2 linked regions of the Drosophila melanogaster genome follow. Changing the gene in region 1 together with any one later gene gives a genetic interaction. Each region holds a gene or a part of one and is shown on either strand. Other genes may lie near its edges.

Evidence for each region. Genes that interact genetically often act in the same process or in processes that back each other up.
Region 2: of RpL27A (region 1) and run, changing one enhances a phenotype caused by changing the other (phenotypic enhancement), as found in Drosophila melanogaster (one study listed by BioGRID).

What each region holds. Positions count from the first base shown.
Region 1 is NT_033779.5:4,455,828-4,461,277, forward strand, and holds RpL27A (ribosomal protein L27A), read right to left. Parts: upstream 2,538-5,450; 5' UTR 2,465-2,537; coding exon 2,462-2,464; intron 2,231-2,461; coding exon 1,913-2,230; intron 1,848-1,912; exon of another isoform or gene 1,776-1,847; intron 1,683-1,775; coding exon 1,554-1,682; 3' UTR 1,548-1,553; intron 1,463-1,547; 3' UTR 1,359-1,462; downstream 1-1,358. Other genes in the region: Gs1l (GS1-like), read right to left, coding at 287-505, 559-622; mRpL27 (mitochondrial ribosomal protein L27), read right to left, coding at 3,177-3,380, 3,439-3,602, 3,657-3,705; CG15435 (uncharacterized protein), read left to right, coding at 4,151-4,306, 4,377-5,450.
Region 2 is NC_004354.4:20,687,723-20,697,550, reverse strand, and holds run (runt), read right to left. Parts: upstream 6,882-9,828; 5' UTR 6,539-6,881; intron 3,441-6,538; 5' UTR 2,859-3,440; coding exon 2,150-2,858; intron 1,741-2,149; coding exon 917-1,740; 3' UTR 230-916; downstream 1-229. UniProt on the Drosophila melanogaster protein: Plays a pivotal role in regulating the expression of other pair-rule genes such as eve, ftz, and h.

The DNA of each region.
Region 1 (5,450 bases):
CCGATTAGTTTTCTGGTCGTGGTGCTAACCTTCCAGCAGGGGTACGTTGTGGAATCGCTCGTGGCACATTTGCGAGTACCGCTTGAGATAGTCTCCGGTTGTGATGGGCAGCTGGCACTCGGTGATGGCTATCTCTGCCGAGCGCTGGTCCGTGGTGCCCATTACCCGGAAACGCACTTCCTCCGGATACGGGCGGCCAAAGGAGGCGGCTATTTGCCGGGTGACCTCCTCGTATATCCTCTCCGTGTCTGAAACGTGACGGCAAAGCGAGAACTGGGATTAGTACCTGGCATCAACTGGGCGTTCCGCATCAGGATCTCGGTGTTGGCGCGCTGCTGGCGTGCGTACTCCTCCCACGACATCGGCAGCTCGTAGTGCTCGACCATGAACCGGGCCAGCGGTTCCGTCTGCAGGCCCATGACCTGCTCCTTGATCTCAAAGGGATATGTCTTGCCGTAGGGCTCGAGGATCATTTCGGTGGCCACAGTATAAAGGCGTTCGGTGTCTGTTCGGCAAATAGTTAACACAGAAAGCAGATACAAGCACGGCAGCACTCACCCAGCAGCAGACCGTCCATGTCGAAGACGCAGTGCGTCACCTTTCGCAGCACTTTGTTGGCCATCTCGCAGCAGTTCTCCTCACTCTGGGCTTCCGATTATGTAATGTTACAAAGTCAACAAGTTCGTTTCCTAACTGCAACACAGAGGTCATAATCAAGTTACTTTGTTTTTACTGGAACATCCCCCGCCCACACAGGCATGCCCTCCACTTTGACTACGTTTCCTGGATTCGGTGCCTCTTGTTCGGTCGTGTCCTTGACCCAAGGTCGCCGCACCCCATCACCAACAGCAAGGTCAAAGATGGAAGTTGCCCTCATCCCTACGGCCTTGACCTACACGTAATCTGCTTCCGCTTTTTGCAATATCGGGCGTCTCGTACTTTTCCGCCTCTTCCGAATTTTTCCGCGAGCTTTCTGCCCGCCGCTGTGTGACCGTAGCTGCGAAGGCGCAAAAAGCCTAGTCGAGAATAGTGCTAAAAATGGAGGGATTAACTGATAATGCGCACCGACGCAGTTATACTCTTTAAATTACTATTTATTTTCTTTATATTATTACTGTTCCTCTTAAGTTACAAAAATAGGCATACTTCTAATATTGTCAAACTCATTTAAATTTGCCCTTGTTATTTGATTCAAAATACAAGTTTTCCTTTGCCACAACAAACTAACCATATAGAAATTATTCTTTATAAAAATATAAAGGAAAGTTGTAGCAGGAATAGAAATAGAAAGTTCTAAACAACTTGCGCCAAGCGAGCAGAAAATGAAGCCCCAATACCTTTTAGTAAACACATTTTGTCGGAATAGCAAATACTTGTTTTTCTTTTAAATTTATTAAAAAACAAATACATTTTTGATGGTCGAATGTAGTCCACTTGCTTTTTTCTTCTGTAGAGGAGGAATCTGCAAGGGAAACAATAGCAATTAGGATACTGCACTTCATTGCTTCGCCGACGAATAGGTAAGACAGCTAGACACACAAGCTCACCTTAACTTAGGCGCTCAGCAAGCACACACCGCCGGCCTTCTTGATCTTGTCCTCAGCCTTCTTAGAGAAGTACTTGGCCTTCACGATGACGGGGCGGGCGGGCAGGTGACCACGGCCCAGCAGCTTGTAGTAGCCCTGTGGAGACATGAGAAGGACACCAGAGTCAATACAATGGGTTACAACGGGGTGAGAACGGGTGCACATCCTCTTCAAGAACTGCTGGCTTTGATCTGAAAGGCTGTCCTCTACACGGTGAGAGCAATTGTACGGTAGCATTCTGTCCGCCCATCGCCTTGGGTGTATCTTCATGTTGAAAGCGGCAGCAGAGTTCGCGTAGCTGGATGGGGAATTCGGGCGAAACTTACGAATTTAACCAAGTCGATGACGGGAGCCTTGGTGCTCTTCTCCTTCTCCAGCTCGGCGAACTTCTCGGCTCCGACCAGGGACCAGAGCTTGTCCAGGTTGATCTCGGGCCTGAACTTGTGCTGGCGACGCAGATGGAAGTTCCTCATGCCCACCTTGCCGAAGTAACCAGGATGGTATTTGTCGAAGTTGATGCGGTGATGGTGCATGCCACCAGCGTTACCGCGACCTCCGGGATGCTTGCGGTGCTTGCCGATACGGCCGTGACCGTGGCTCACATGACCACGCAGCTTCCTGGTCTTCTTCCGCTTGATATTCGACTGTAAGGGAGAGCAGAAAAGAAACGTGTTTTCATTGAGCATTCCTCAATCATTTTCACCCACGTGCTGGAGGTTATGTTTACTTGCTCCAGTCGCTATGCTCACTTGGCCATTGCAGTCAGTGGGCAGGCATGCTGCGGCACTTTGAGTGAGCTCTTATTTCTATTCCACATCATTCGCCTGCCCACAAACCACATTTTAGGTGCACCACATTTACCGACGTCCACTCACCATCTTTAAAATTGTAGGAAAGAAAGAAGCGAAGTTGGCTGCGGTTGTAGCAGTGTGACCGCCCGGCGGCGATAACAAAAAATACGAAATACCATCCGGACAGAAAACATATACCCCTAACTACCATTTTAGTCTGAAAAAATATCTCGTACACACCATTATATTTAAGATAAATTTAAGTCTATATGCATTATGAAAATATATAATCATGAATAATTAAACATAATACTGCATATATAAGCGTTAAATTGAATTTCACTACAACAATACTAAATAAGTTTTTACATTCATAGGATAAAACGTGTACTTGATTTAAGCGAAATTCTGTAGGCAGTGCCTATACCGTCATGTGCATAATTTTATAATTTCTTATAGATGATTATGGCTTATTATTAAAGTTCATTTTACAGTTCAATAGCGTTCGGCTTGGCTAAAAAAGGGGGAAGTGTAGTTTTTGTTTTTGAAGTTCGCAATGTAAAAAGTTTTGCGAAATTAATAATCGAAAATGTTGCATTGATATCTGGCTATTAACTGGATTTCTTTTCAAATTCGGGGCGTGTATTCGATAGTTGGTTCAGAGCATTGCTAAATACAGTGCTGTATAACGGTCGTGCTGGCATGTAAATATAACAGGTGCTGTTAAGCACATCGATGTTAATTGCCAAAAATTCAAATATTCACATTTCCATTTGGTTTAAATTTTGTATTTAACAATCTAGATTTCCTCCACTAGACGAAATCGCTGATGCTGATTTTCGGGCACAACATTGAAGAACTTCTTGTAGATGTTCTGGCCCTGGCGACCGGCGTAGTTCCGCTGAATCCAGGTGTGGTCCCAGTTGGGATCGATGGCCTCGCAGGTCACATAAACCTTGCCGTGCTCCATGGCGAAAAGGGTTCCATTGCGGCCAAAGCCCACCTTTCAATGGGAAAAAGTATAAAAATATGCCGGGATAACTCCTTCCTGCGCTACTCACATTCAGGCCCGGATGAAAGCGCGTTGTGAGCTGGGTGGCCAGTATTGTGCCCTCGGAGACGTGGTGCCCATCCTGGACGCGCCATCCGCGATGTTTGGGCCTCGCATGGCCCTTCTTATTCCTCGTACTTCCGCCGGTTTTCTTGCTGGCATTGCGCACGGTGGCTAAATGGGATTGAATTGATTAGAATATGCAACCGGTTCGTGGGAAGTCCTTACTCATCAGCGGCTGGTCTGCCTTCAGGCACTGCATGGTCAGCTTTTGCATGATATTAAACGACATATTTGTGATTTTATTCCAGTAGCGAGGTTTGTTTATGCAATTCCAGATGGGCACCAGTGTGACCCCCGAGTTCAGCTAGATCAAGAGCATTAACAGACTGTTGGCCACTGTTGCCAATTGGTGTTAATAAAATCTAGCTTTGTAAATATATATCAAATAAATCTACGTTTGTATTTTCAACAGTATTATTTATGCTTAAATAAACTATCGTCTTAGTCATTAATATATCTGTCACGTGTTTAGCTAATAATAATTAATATTCAAAAAATTTGCTGTAATCCTGTTATAGCTAACTGGACATCACTGCCGCAAGTGGGTGGACTGTTGAGTTTTGAACCTTCAGTGGTAGGGCAACACTCGCCGGAGTGTTGAAAATTGTCATTGTTTATTTTTTCCGGCATAAGCATTAAGTTTAAGGTTTGCCATAAGTATGACGTCGTGGGGCAATATCTGCCGCATCTGCAGCAGCCCCGCAGACTACGAGATATTCGCCAAGATTCCCACGTATTTGCACGGCTCCACAAACGAGTTTCTCAACTGGCAAAAGCCCATAAACGTTCTGCTGGAGGAGACGACGGGCCTGAAAGTAAGTGACTCCATTCTAAAGTAGCCAGATAAATGTTTATATGAGTGCCTCCTCTTTCGACCGACCGCAGAACTCCACGGACGACGGACTGCCACGCAACATATGTGCGCCGTGCATCTCCTATCTCAAGCATGCCGTCACATTCCGGGAACAGTGCATCAAGAACGCGCTGAGTCTCAAGCTGGCGGAGCTCTACCAGCAGAAGAGGGTCAACGTTTCGGATGCGAACAAGATGGACAAGGAGAGCGCCCTCTTCACGGCGGAGGATCTGAATTATGTGGAGCAGAGGCCAGTGCATAATCTTCTGCTAAACAACAGCGCCAACAAACTGGAGTCATCCAAGGACAAGGTACACAAGCGACTGCTCAATCAGACGACTACCCAGCTAGACGGCAATGCTGAGCAGAAGATCCAGTACTTAAACGTGCTGTTCAACAAGCAGCAGCCTCACAACAGCATGCCCAGGCAACCGCGGGATGGCGAACTGCCATCGAGCAGTGGCCAAAATGACGACGAAGATGACGACTATGCGGTGGCCAGTTCCAGCGACGACAACGAGGAGGCGGCCCTGCTGCGCAAGCACAAGAACTGCTATAACTACACCGAGACCAACTTCGAGGAGGACGATCCCATGGAGCAGGATCAGCTGCAGCTGCGCGACATCAAAGTGAACATACCGGAGCCCATGTGGAAGGAGCGCAAGTGTCCGGCATGCTCCAAACGCTTCATGTTCGAGGACTCGCATCAGTCGCATCTGGACAACTGCGTCGAATACCAGTTCGTCACGTTTGTTACCGAGGTGACCAAGTTGCTCGAGATTAGGCGACAGAAAATGGTCTCGCCGCACGAGTTCATCCGCCGCATGATATTCGCTCTGCACAAAACTTGCGCCTGGCTGCAGGAACATTCCATAGACTCGCTTCTGGCCGAGAAGCTCAATCAGGTGAAGGTGTCCAACGGTGAGAAGATAGCTGAGCCGCCAATTCCCATAGATATACCCGATCCCCGGCCGGTGCAGGAACCATCTCTATTCGACTGTGCCAGCGGAACGACGACTCCGATCACGGAGGAGAACAACGTGCTGTACGCCATTGAGCGCTCTGAAAGTTGCCATTCCCAGGGCACGCCGACGGTGAAAAAACCC
Region 2 (9,828 bases), on another chromosome or scaffold:
CCAAATTAAAATAGGCGTTTTAGTTCATTAAGGTGGAATCCTAAAAAGTTAGAATCTAAGAAATATTATGGAAACTTTAATTAAAAGAAAAAATGGCTTTTCATTTTGATTCAGGGATTGGATAGTTTTCAAATGTTTCGTAGTTAAGCTGAAAGGGATTTCCTAAAAGTATCGGGAAAACCTTTTGAGAAATGAAAACAAATACTTCATATTTTTGTAAATACTTTTTGTGTGTGATTTTTGTTTTTTATTTGGTTTTGTTTCAAATTCGATTTTTGTGTTAGATCTCTTTTCGCGCTAAAACTTATGGCTAGACAAAAAAATTGATTTCTCGCTTAGACGACTAGTTAAACATAATGATTAAAAATAGCTAAATTCGCATATTATCCATCGAAAAAAATAGGTTCTCAAAAAAAAAAAGTTATGAGTGTTACAACTAGTTAGCTATGTACAAATTGTGTTGTTGTTGTTTTGTGTTGAAATGAAATTGAACTAAAGTTTGCTTTCTTGGTATTTTCTTTTTGGGCTGAGTTTTTGAGTTTTCGTGTTTTCTGCTGGGATTTGTAAAAAATCCTGGTGAAAATCGAGGGCCTGTGATTCAAACTCGTCGCACGATTTTATGAGTCCGAGCATAAAACTTCGCCGGAGTCTGATTTCCAGGATTGGGGTCCTTTGTCCTATATCCATTATCCATTATCCTCTATCCATAACTTTTGCTCAGCTAGTTGATGCTGCTGCTCCCGCTGCCGTTTATCCTTCTATCCCACTGATGAGGCTGCTCCGTTTGCCGGCCGGAGGCGTCGTAACTTATAACACTATATCACAATTATAATTTTTGCCCGCTTGCCGCTCTGCGTCGCCGCTGTTATATCACTTTGTTTTCTTCATTCCTCCAGATTTTTGGGGATCAGATGCCCTAGTAGGGCCGCCACACGGTCTTCTGCTGCACGGCGGCGCTCTTGATCTTGGTGGTCGTTTCCGGCGACGGCTGGCGGCTGTTGGCTACCGCTCCAGGACCGCTCTCGTGGTAGAGCGGCTTCATGGCCGAGGGCGCCTTCAGGTCGCAGCGCATGCGAAGTGGCGCCACATCCAGGCTCTTGTCCAGGTCGAACTCCGATTTGACCACGTCGATCTGCTCGTCGTCGGAGTCGCCGTCACTGGCGGACTGCTCGTGGATGGAGCTCGTCTCGATGGAGGTGTTTAGCTTCAGCAGGACGTGTTGCTGGGTGGGCGAGGAGCTGGAGGGCCTGGAGGAGGCGGGGCTGACGTGGACCGGCTCGCTCTGGTGGTGCAGGGCAGCATTGCGGGCCCGCAAGCCAGCTGCCGCGGCAAAGTTATACGGATGGAAGGCGTGTGGCGTGGCTGCCTTGGCGGCGGCTGCGGCGGCCACATGGTTGAATGGGAACTGCGGAATGGCATAGGGCGTGGCAGGCGCCGCTCCCGGTGGCGATGGCATCATGGCCGCCGGTTGTCCCGCCGCCGCTGCCACTGCTGCCGCCGGATGGGGATACTCAGATGGCTGAACCGCCGACGAGGAGCTGGTGGCCACCGATGGATTGGGATTTGGCGACACCGAGGAAGCCGAGGACTTGGCCAGTGCCGGATGATGCACCTGGGCCGCCTGGGCGGCTGCCTGGTGGCGGAAGTAGTCCGCATAGCCGTAGGTCATGTACGCCGCATCCAGCCAAGCGGGATTCAGCATGAACGGGTTAAACGCGCCGGGATGGGGATAGCCATAGCCTGGAAGGATAAAGAAAAAGGGCGGGAAGTCAGTAAAGCACAACTCGTATTTCATCGGAATGCGTTTTTAAAAAGGTTGGGGGGATGGTGGGGGATTTGGTTGGCGGCAATGGATCTCAAGATCCTTGGATATGTGTATCAAAACCGAATTGCAAAAGGATAAGCAAAAATAATGATAAAATCTTTAAGATAAAGTGATCAATGCAATCATTTCAAAACAGACTGATCATTTAAAGTTGAGCTTAAAAATGGCATTAGTTATTTAAGATCATAACTAGTTAGTGTTGGCAAATGTTTTCAAAACTATGAATATTGTAATTGAAGATATGCAAACGGTTTCTGAATTGGTTTTTTGGGGATCTTTGGGAGTGGATTAAACTGAAAACATAATGGAAACTAAAAAACTCACTTTGCTTACTTCTTGGCTCCCGTGGCCCGTCGACGGTCACCTTGATGGCTTTGCTGTAGCTGGCGATCTGCACCGGATAGGTGGCAATGGTGATGGTCAGCGTGAAGGACTTGCCGCGTCCCGATCGTCCCACGAAGCGCAGATCGTTGAACTTGGCCACCTGGTTCTTCATGGTCGTGGTGCAGTTCCTCAGCTCGCCGCAGTAGTTTTCGTCGTTGCCGCACTTGATGGACACCAGGGTGCCATCGGGCACGTCGTCCAGGGCGATCACCTTGAAGGCTCCGGGCAGCGACTTGTTCGACCGCCAGTGATTGGGCAGGGCGCTGCAGAGGATCGAGGGCGATCCGGTCTGGGCCAGCTCGCCGTGATACTCCTGCAGCATCTCGTGCAGGCTGGCGAACATGTCGGTCATCGAGCTGGGCATCTTGGCGGAGTTCTGCGGACTGGTGGTGGCGTTGCTGCTCGAGCTGGTGTTGTTCGTGCTGAGATCTGGTGTGGAGCTGCCCGTGCTGCTGGCCGAGTGGGTGCTCGTGTTGGCCAGACTCTGGGCGGGATTGATGGCGATTGCGGAGGCGGTGGTGGCATTGCTACTCTGCTGCGGCCCAGGACCCTGGGCTACCGCGGCCGCTGCGGCGGCTGCTGCGGCGGCGGCAGCGGCCAGGACCTGTGTGTTGTTGGCCACCATCGTTGGACCCGCTGGCAGATGCATCTCGTATCCGAATGTGGAAATCGTAGCCGTAATCCTGGGGCTGTCGACAATTGCCGGTTTTCTATTGCGGATTCTCGGTATGCACTTCACTTTATCGGGGGTCACTTGGAAAAAATTCGTTTGTTTGTTGTTATTGGATTGTTTCGCGATTTCGAACTCTGCTTCTTTCGAGCCTGTTTCTGTTTTCCAAAGTCGAAAACGATATATTTCTCTGTGCGTTCTCGACACGCTAAAGTCGCTGAGTGAACTGATTCTCTGCTGCGATCGTTGGCAGTATTTAAAGTGGAATGCGCTGCTCGCCGCCTCTGTCGACGGCTCTGCCGGCGTTTGTGCCCCGTCCCACTTGCACGGCGCTAGCGCCGTCTCTTTCCCGCCCATTATCCTGGGCGGTATGGTGGTGTGGTTGGCTACCTACGCACACAGGCGCGCCTTTAAGGGTGCCGGGGCAGGTATATATCGGTATATCGAGCAACCACCATTGCCGCCGCAACAACAACCACAGCAAAAAATTTCCCATTTTTCCATTGCGGTCTCTCTGTGTGTTTGTGTGTGTGTGTGTGTTTGGCTGTCGTGTTAGTGTGCCTGTGTACGTGAGAGAGAAGTCGCTTGTTACTTGTGGCCAAAAAGGAAAAAATAACAGCGGAAAAAAGGAAAATCGCATGGGCGAGAGCGAGAAAGAGAGAGAGAGAGTGATGGCCTGGAAATTGCACCAAAGAAAAACTCAAAAAAGAAATACACCGAGACTTTTCCACTCTCTCGCTCTGGCTCTCGCTTCCTCTCTCGCTTTTCCCCACGGGCGGTCTGGAAATTGTGTGCGTTTTCCTTTTCTTCGCTTTGAATTTTATTTTTTCGCCACGCACGCCAAAAGAAAAACGGCCGTGCAACAGTTTCCCATTTTCCACTTCCAGCGGCGCGCGTGTTTTGGCGGCCCTCCTGCGGAGGGGTTCGTCGAGGGGGGCGGGGGCGGGTGGTACAGGTAGGCACCCATGGCCAAACGGGGGGTTCCCTTCACCATCTCCTTCTCGTTCCCTTGCCTTCCCTTTCCCGAGTAGCTAGGATGCCAGGGGCGTCCTGCCGACAGGACATGAGGACTCAATTAGTCAGTGCGAGGAGGGATCAGGTTGCGAAATTATCATAAATATTATCACAAGCATCAGGAGAGCTATATCACTATGACTTTGGGATAAAAGGATTTAAGCCTTTTAATTTCATGGGTGATACGATTGTGGAGTTTGGAAAATTTTGGAACATGGGATTTTCAATTATGATAATAATCTATAGTACATATAGTACACACTATCCCATACTATCATAAGATGAATTATATTTTCCTTTATATTTGTATTTATTATCATATATTTAATTGCTTTCGAAGGTATCTTATCGATTAAGATGAAGATGCCGAAAAAAATATAATAAATATAATAATATATATATATATATATATATAATATATATATCAACATAAGCACGATATTTTAAATACATCATTATTAGTGCTACAAATCGTTTTAATAATCTGTTCAAAAAACTAATCATTTCCAGTGTTAATTTTTTTTTTTTTGAATATGCATCAACGTTATCCATATAATTTCATTTCAAATAAGTTAAGTTAAGTAATTTAAGATCAGATCTAATTAATAAACATATACACGTGCATAACAGTGCGTCCCATTGTTCGAAAATGTCCCAAAAATTAGTGTTTCATTCAAAATAATCAGAAATCCCCGGCTGATCATATTACGGCACACTGATCCCTCAGTGTTGCTCAATGTTTTTCTCGATTCCGCCCAAAATTTACTTTATCGCCGATCTCGGAACTCGGAACTCGATCAACTGATCTGCAATCTCCGATCTGAATCTGTCCAACTAACACCCATTGTCAGGTCCGGTCCACTTCCAGTACTATCTAAGATGCAGTGCCATCGATCTCTCCGGGGATCGAACTTAATCCTAATGCTGATCGGGCGATTATCCTGCGATTAGTCCTGTAAATATTTGTGCGCCTCTCAGTTCGTGTGGCGCAATCCGGCTCGATTTCATTTCCATTTTCGCTGCCTGCGATCGCCGATCCTTGATTGGATCAGGTTTAGCTAGCTGATCGGATTTAATCTGATGCGGAAGTGTCATACTTGGAAGAACATCGAGTATCTTTGGCTGCCTACATTGAACTCTCTTCAAACTAATCTACGTTTACTTAGGTTTTAAGATTTGTACATTTTGCTTAGCGATTGGCTAAGTGATTAGCACATACATAGATAGTAATTCAGATTACGAAACTTAGCTTCAAAAACGAAATATGAACGATTTAATTAACTTAATGTAAAATGGATTAACTGTGTATTAATTCTTAAGAGCTGCTGAATAACACTTGACACTTGACTTGACAATTTAAAGTAATATTCTCAATTCCTTCAACACTCATTTCGTGCAGTGGAACGCAAATCAAGTGCCTGACTGGCCAAAAAATTGCGGCCCACCAAAACAACCTTAAAAACGAGGCCACACAGGACCCGCGAGTTTTCCGAGGTGGCGGACTCTTCCAGGCACCGCGTGGAGGAGGAGGAGAAGGAATGGGGAGCATGGCCATTCTGGTAGGGGAACTACGAGGCAAGACCAACCAAAATGTCGCGAGAACGCGCCGCTCTCAGCTGGACATTATAGACGCACACTTCCAGTAAATCCAGTGTATCGGCAGCGCTGCCTTTTGTACGTGCGCGGCCGCTCGCTGCGAAGGACCTCGTGTCCCTACACCGATTTCACACCATATAGCCCCGGGATATATGGCAGGACAGCGCAGGTTTAGCGGGCGTGCGACAAGGACGCGATTGCCGATGGCCGATTGACGATTGCCGGTTTCCCGGGAAATCAGCGCTCCTGTCGTCGCTTCTTGGATCCTGCTGCGATTCCTTGGCAATTTGCGACAGGAGCTGCCGCAGCACGCGCATCGCAGGACCCGCAGGACCGCCTCATAGGGATCACCGAGCACCAGGCAGTACCTGATCTCCATACCGAACTCGCTACGAGCCCACAGCAGCCAAAAGGATCAACCCTTTTTTTATGGGCCCTCCGATGCTTTTTTGCGGCCCCAAAAAAGTGGGAAAACTATGGGTTTACTGGCTTTGACGTACCTGGCCCTCAGATGTACCATCGCATGTACTGATATCGCACCTCAAAACAGGTAGTCCAACCGCGCAATCTTAATCCTTTGCTTATGAAAGTCAATCGCCCGGATTAAGCAGCACGCCCCGCAAATATTTTGGCCGATTAGCCGCCGCCACGGGCCATAAAATATGTTCCCAAAAAATAAGCAACGAGCATCTGATACGGAAAGTGCCTACCTGGCCACCAAAAACTCAAAGGACTTCGCTTTTTAGCGGGATTAACCGATGGGAGATTAAGGCGACAGTAACCTGTATTCATGTACTCAATATATGCAATGTTTTTCTCACTGCTGTTGAGCAGTTAATTTAAAACAAAAAAGAGCGAGGCTTAATTAGCTGAATTTACTTCTGTACTTCACCATAAAAAATCACTCCCGACTATTTCTTAGTGCAGATATTTTTTGTACAGTAGTTTAGTACGCAAGCTACTTGAATCTGTAAGATACGGTTTCATCTATGCAAATGTCGTGAGCGGTAAATAAAACTTCCAGTGCGATTAAAAGCTTCTGTACTTACCGATCTTACGCAATCTGAACTATATCTTAGTGCAGATTATTTAGAAAAGTATTTTAGTAATCAATCTACGATACAGGCTGCTAACTGTGAGATACGATTTCACTTATGCAAATACCGTGACGTTCCTGAATAAATTTCCTCGAAATGAATGGGTATCAGAACTACGATCTGTGCATTCCGCACCTCCGAGGAACGGACAAACCAGTACTCCGTTCATCCCCCAATCACCACGGCGATCAGTTGAATTATTCATATACGTGCGCAAGATCCCTCCCCCTCGCAGAAAGAGACGGCACCAGGCGAACGAAAGAGAGGCACCTACGCTCGAGGGGCTGGGGTAACCGCAGAGATCGGCCAACCGTTGGCGAGCAGATGCTACGGAAATAGCTGACATCCAAGAGGGGATGATTTATTAGTAGGGCGATCGTTATGGGAGAGAACGAGACGGCTGCGCCGATCGTGGCTCCGCCTCTCCTCATGGAGCTCCTCGCACAACCGTTATCCAGGCTATACTGAATGCACAGGGATCCCAGGAGCCAGGAGCCATTGACCACGGAGAACCCCAGAACCCCCAACAAAAATTACCGACAGAGAGCGGAAAACTCTGGCACCGTGGAAATTCCAGTGGCGCAGGGGAAATGCTCACTGCCACAGGAGAATAAAAAACAAAAGCGACTGCCAATCGAGGAACATTTTTGTACCCTTCGGTGTTTGGTTAGTTTAACTATTTCAAATGACAAGTGAACAATAACAATATTGATGCGTTTTTGAAACGATTATAACGACGAAAAACTGTTTTAACTAAGCATCTGTATAAAGTGAAACTGAAATTCAATTTAAATTATTTAATTTAAGCATGAAACATATTTTGTAGTAAAAAATTAAATATCTTTTAATAGCTCAAAAGCGTTTATAATAAATACAATAATCAATTTATTCAACAAATATTTGTAAAGTATTATAAAACGTGCATAAATGTTTTGTTTTTTTTTTTTAGGGAAAACAAACTTATTATTTCGTTATGAATATATTTGAAAATATACTGAAAAGTGTATTTAACAATTTGTGCCGCCAATTTGCGCATTCTTCTTTATTTACAAAAGGCAGCAGTGGAAAAGCGGAAAAGCGGGCAGCGCGGCGGCAGCGGACCGACTGCGACTGCGGCTGCGGCGTTGTGTAAGTGAATTGTGGTTTGTTGTTTTGGTTGTGGCGCTGGCAGTGCTGCCGGCAGCGACGTCGGCAGCGACGTCGGCAGCGGCTTCCGACCGCTCCTCCCCATCCCCCTCCCCCGCTGGCGACGTCATTCAACCCTCGGAAAAAATTACACCACAGCCGGTTCACCACTTTCCATTGGAAAACGCTTGTTTGAGTGATTTTTTTTCTGCGTTCTGGGGGTGTTTTTTATTTTCTTTCGTGTGGTGAAAAACGGGGAATGAGTGTGTTTCGGGTTTCCTTCTGTTTTTCTTTTTACCTTTTCCTTTTTTTTTTTTTTTTGGTTTTCTTTTTTTTTTTATTCTTTGCCTTTGCGACACTCCCACAAAATTGTGTTTTGGTTAGGTGGCCATGCATTGGCTGGCTTTCCACCGTTTTCCACACACTTTTCCGACTGCCAGCTGTTCTTTGGCCCGTGTGCGCTACTCCATCTTGGCCGAATCCCAGGATCCTTGGATTGCTTGGGACACATGTCATGGATTTTTCAGCGATCATTTGTGCTCCTTGTGTGCACATACATATATATTTCCTCAGTTTTCGTTGACTTGGCCCCTCTCTATTTACTTAAGAACAATGGATTTTTGGCAGGAACGATCCGTAACCATTTTGAATGGACTTTCTTTTGGGCCCGCGACAATTAGCCAAGGGAAAATGGAAGAGGCGAAAATTGGTGGGGGAAAATATGCAGCTGTCCGATCGGCGTTGAAATCCTAATGATCTCTGGCGATTGTTACACATGTCCCCTACAAATTGTTTACAAAAAACTCCCGAAAAAACGGGAAACAGTAAAGAAAAGTCGGAGGAGTGTGCAAGTTGTTTACATTTGTTGGCACAACAAAGGTTCTTCGGTTATGTTTTGGGCTGTTTTTGATCAAAGGACACTTTTCGTGATCATCGGCATCGTTTTATATTATCTTTTGATATTTATAGTAAGTTTTCCATCAATACGAATCATGTGATTTATGGTTTTTCATTCGAGACCTGCCTGTTTTTTCCTATTTTAAATTTACTGAAAGTGTTGATAGGGGATCATTTCTTTATTCTGTTTATTTTTGTTTTGAGTACAAAACTGAATTTTGAAATGCCTAAAACGGGTTAGCTCTCAACGCATCGGCCGCCCTCTGCAGAAGGTCGATCTGTCCTCGATTAAATACGTTTTCCCACCAACCGATCCTCCATTTTATAATGCCTCCCCACCCCCTTTTGTTATTATGAAACCCGCTTTCCCATGCCTCCCCGGCGCTAACTTCTGAACTGCAACTTTTGGCTTTGTAAATGGGTATATATTGTACATACTTAGATATATCGAAATCGCGGCTATATACAGCCAGCACGCTCCGCACACACACATGCCCTCGAACTTCCGATGGGCAGACAATGTGCAGATTAGAGCTGGAAATCCGTTAAGTCCGCCCGAGGAGTGCGTCCTTAATGCGATTGCGACCCCTTTTGGATAGCGGGCAGGAAGCCAGGAACCAGTTTTTAGATCTGTTCCCATTTGATATGTAAAAAACGCACTCCGGCTGGGTATTTCGCATAATTGGCGGCCATTTTGAAGTGGCATATGCCGCGCCATTCGGTTGTAGGGTATCGCGTGGCATCGGTCGGCTTGAATGGTCGGAGGGAGACTTGGCTCCTCTGGTGAGCCTTCGTCCCCGGCTTTTCCTTGATTTTTTCCACATTTTTTGCATTTTCCTGCCATTTTCCCCACTTTTTCCAGCTGCATTGTGTTTTGCTCCCTTTTTCAGCAGTGGCTTAGACTACAGAAGGGGCTTTGCATATTGAATCGTTTTACATATCGTTAGTTAATAAGTTGGCTAATGATGAATTAAAAATTCATTTTATTTAAAAGAACTTATTTATTTCGAAAGGTGTTTCAAATATGCATATATGTACATAAATATTTCTTTATTTTCGTAATTCTTACAAAACTTAACCAGTTTTATTTAGGTCTTGGGTTAAGTTGCCTTAAACCCCAGAAAAAGGACGCCCCTGCTCGTTCGCGGCTCCATGACAACTCTTTTTTACCAAGCTTGTATTGCTCTCTCTGTCCGTTTGGCACGTCCCGTCTCTATCTG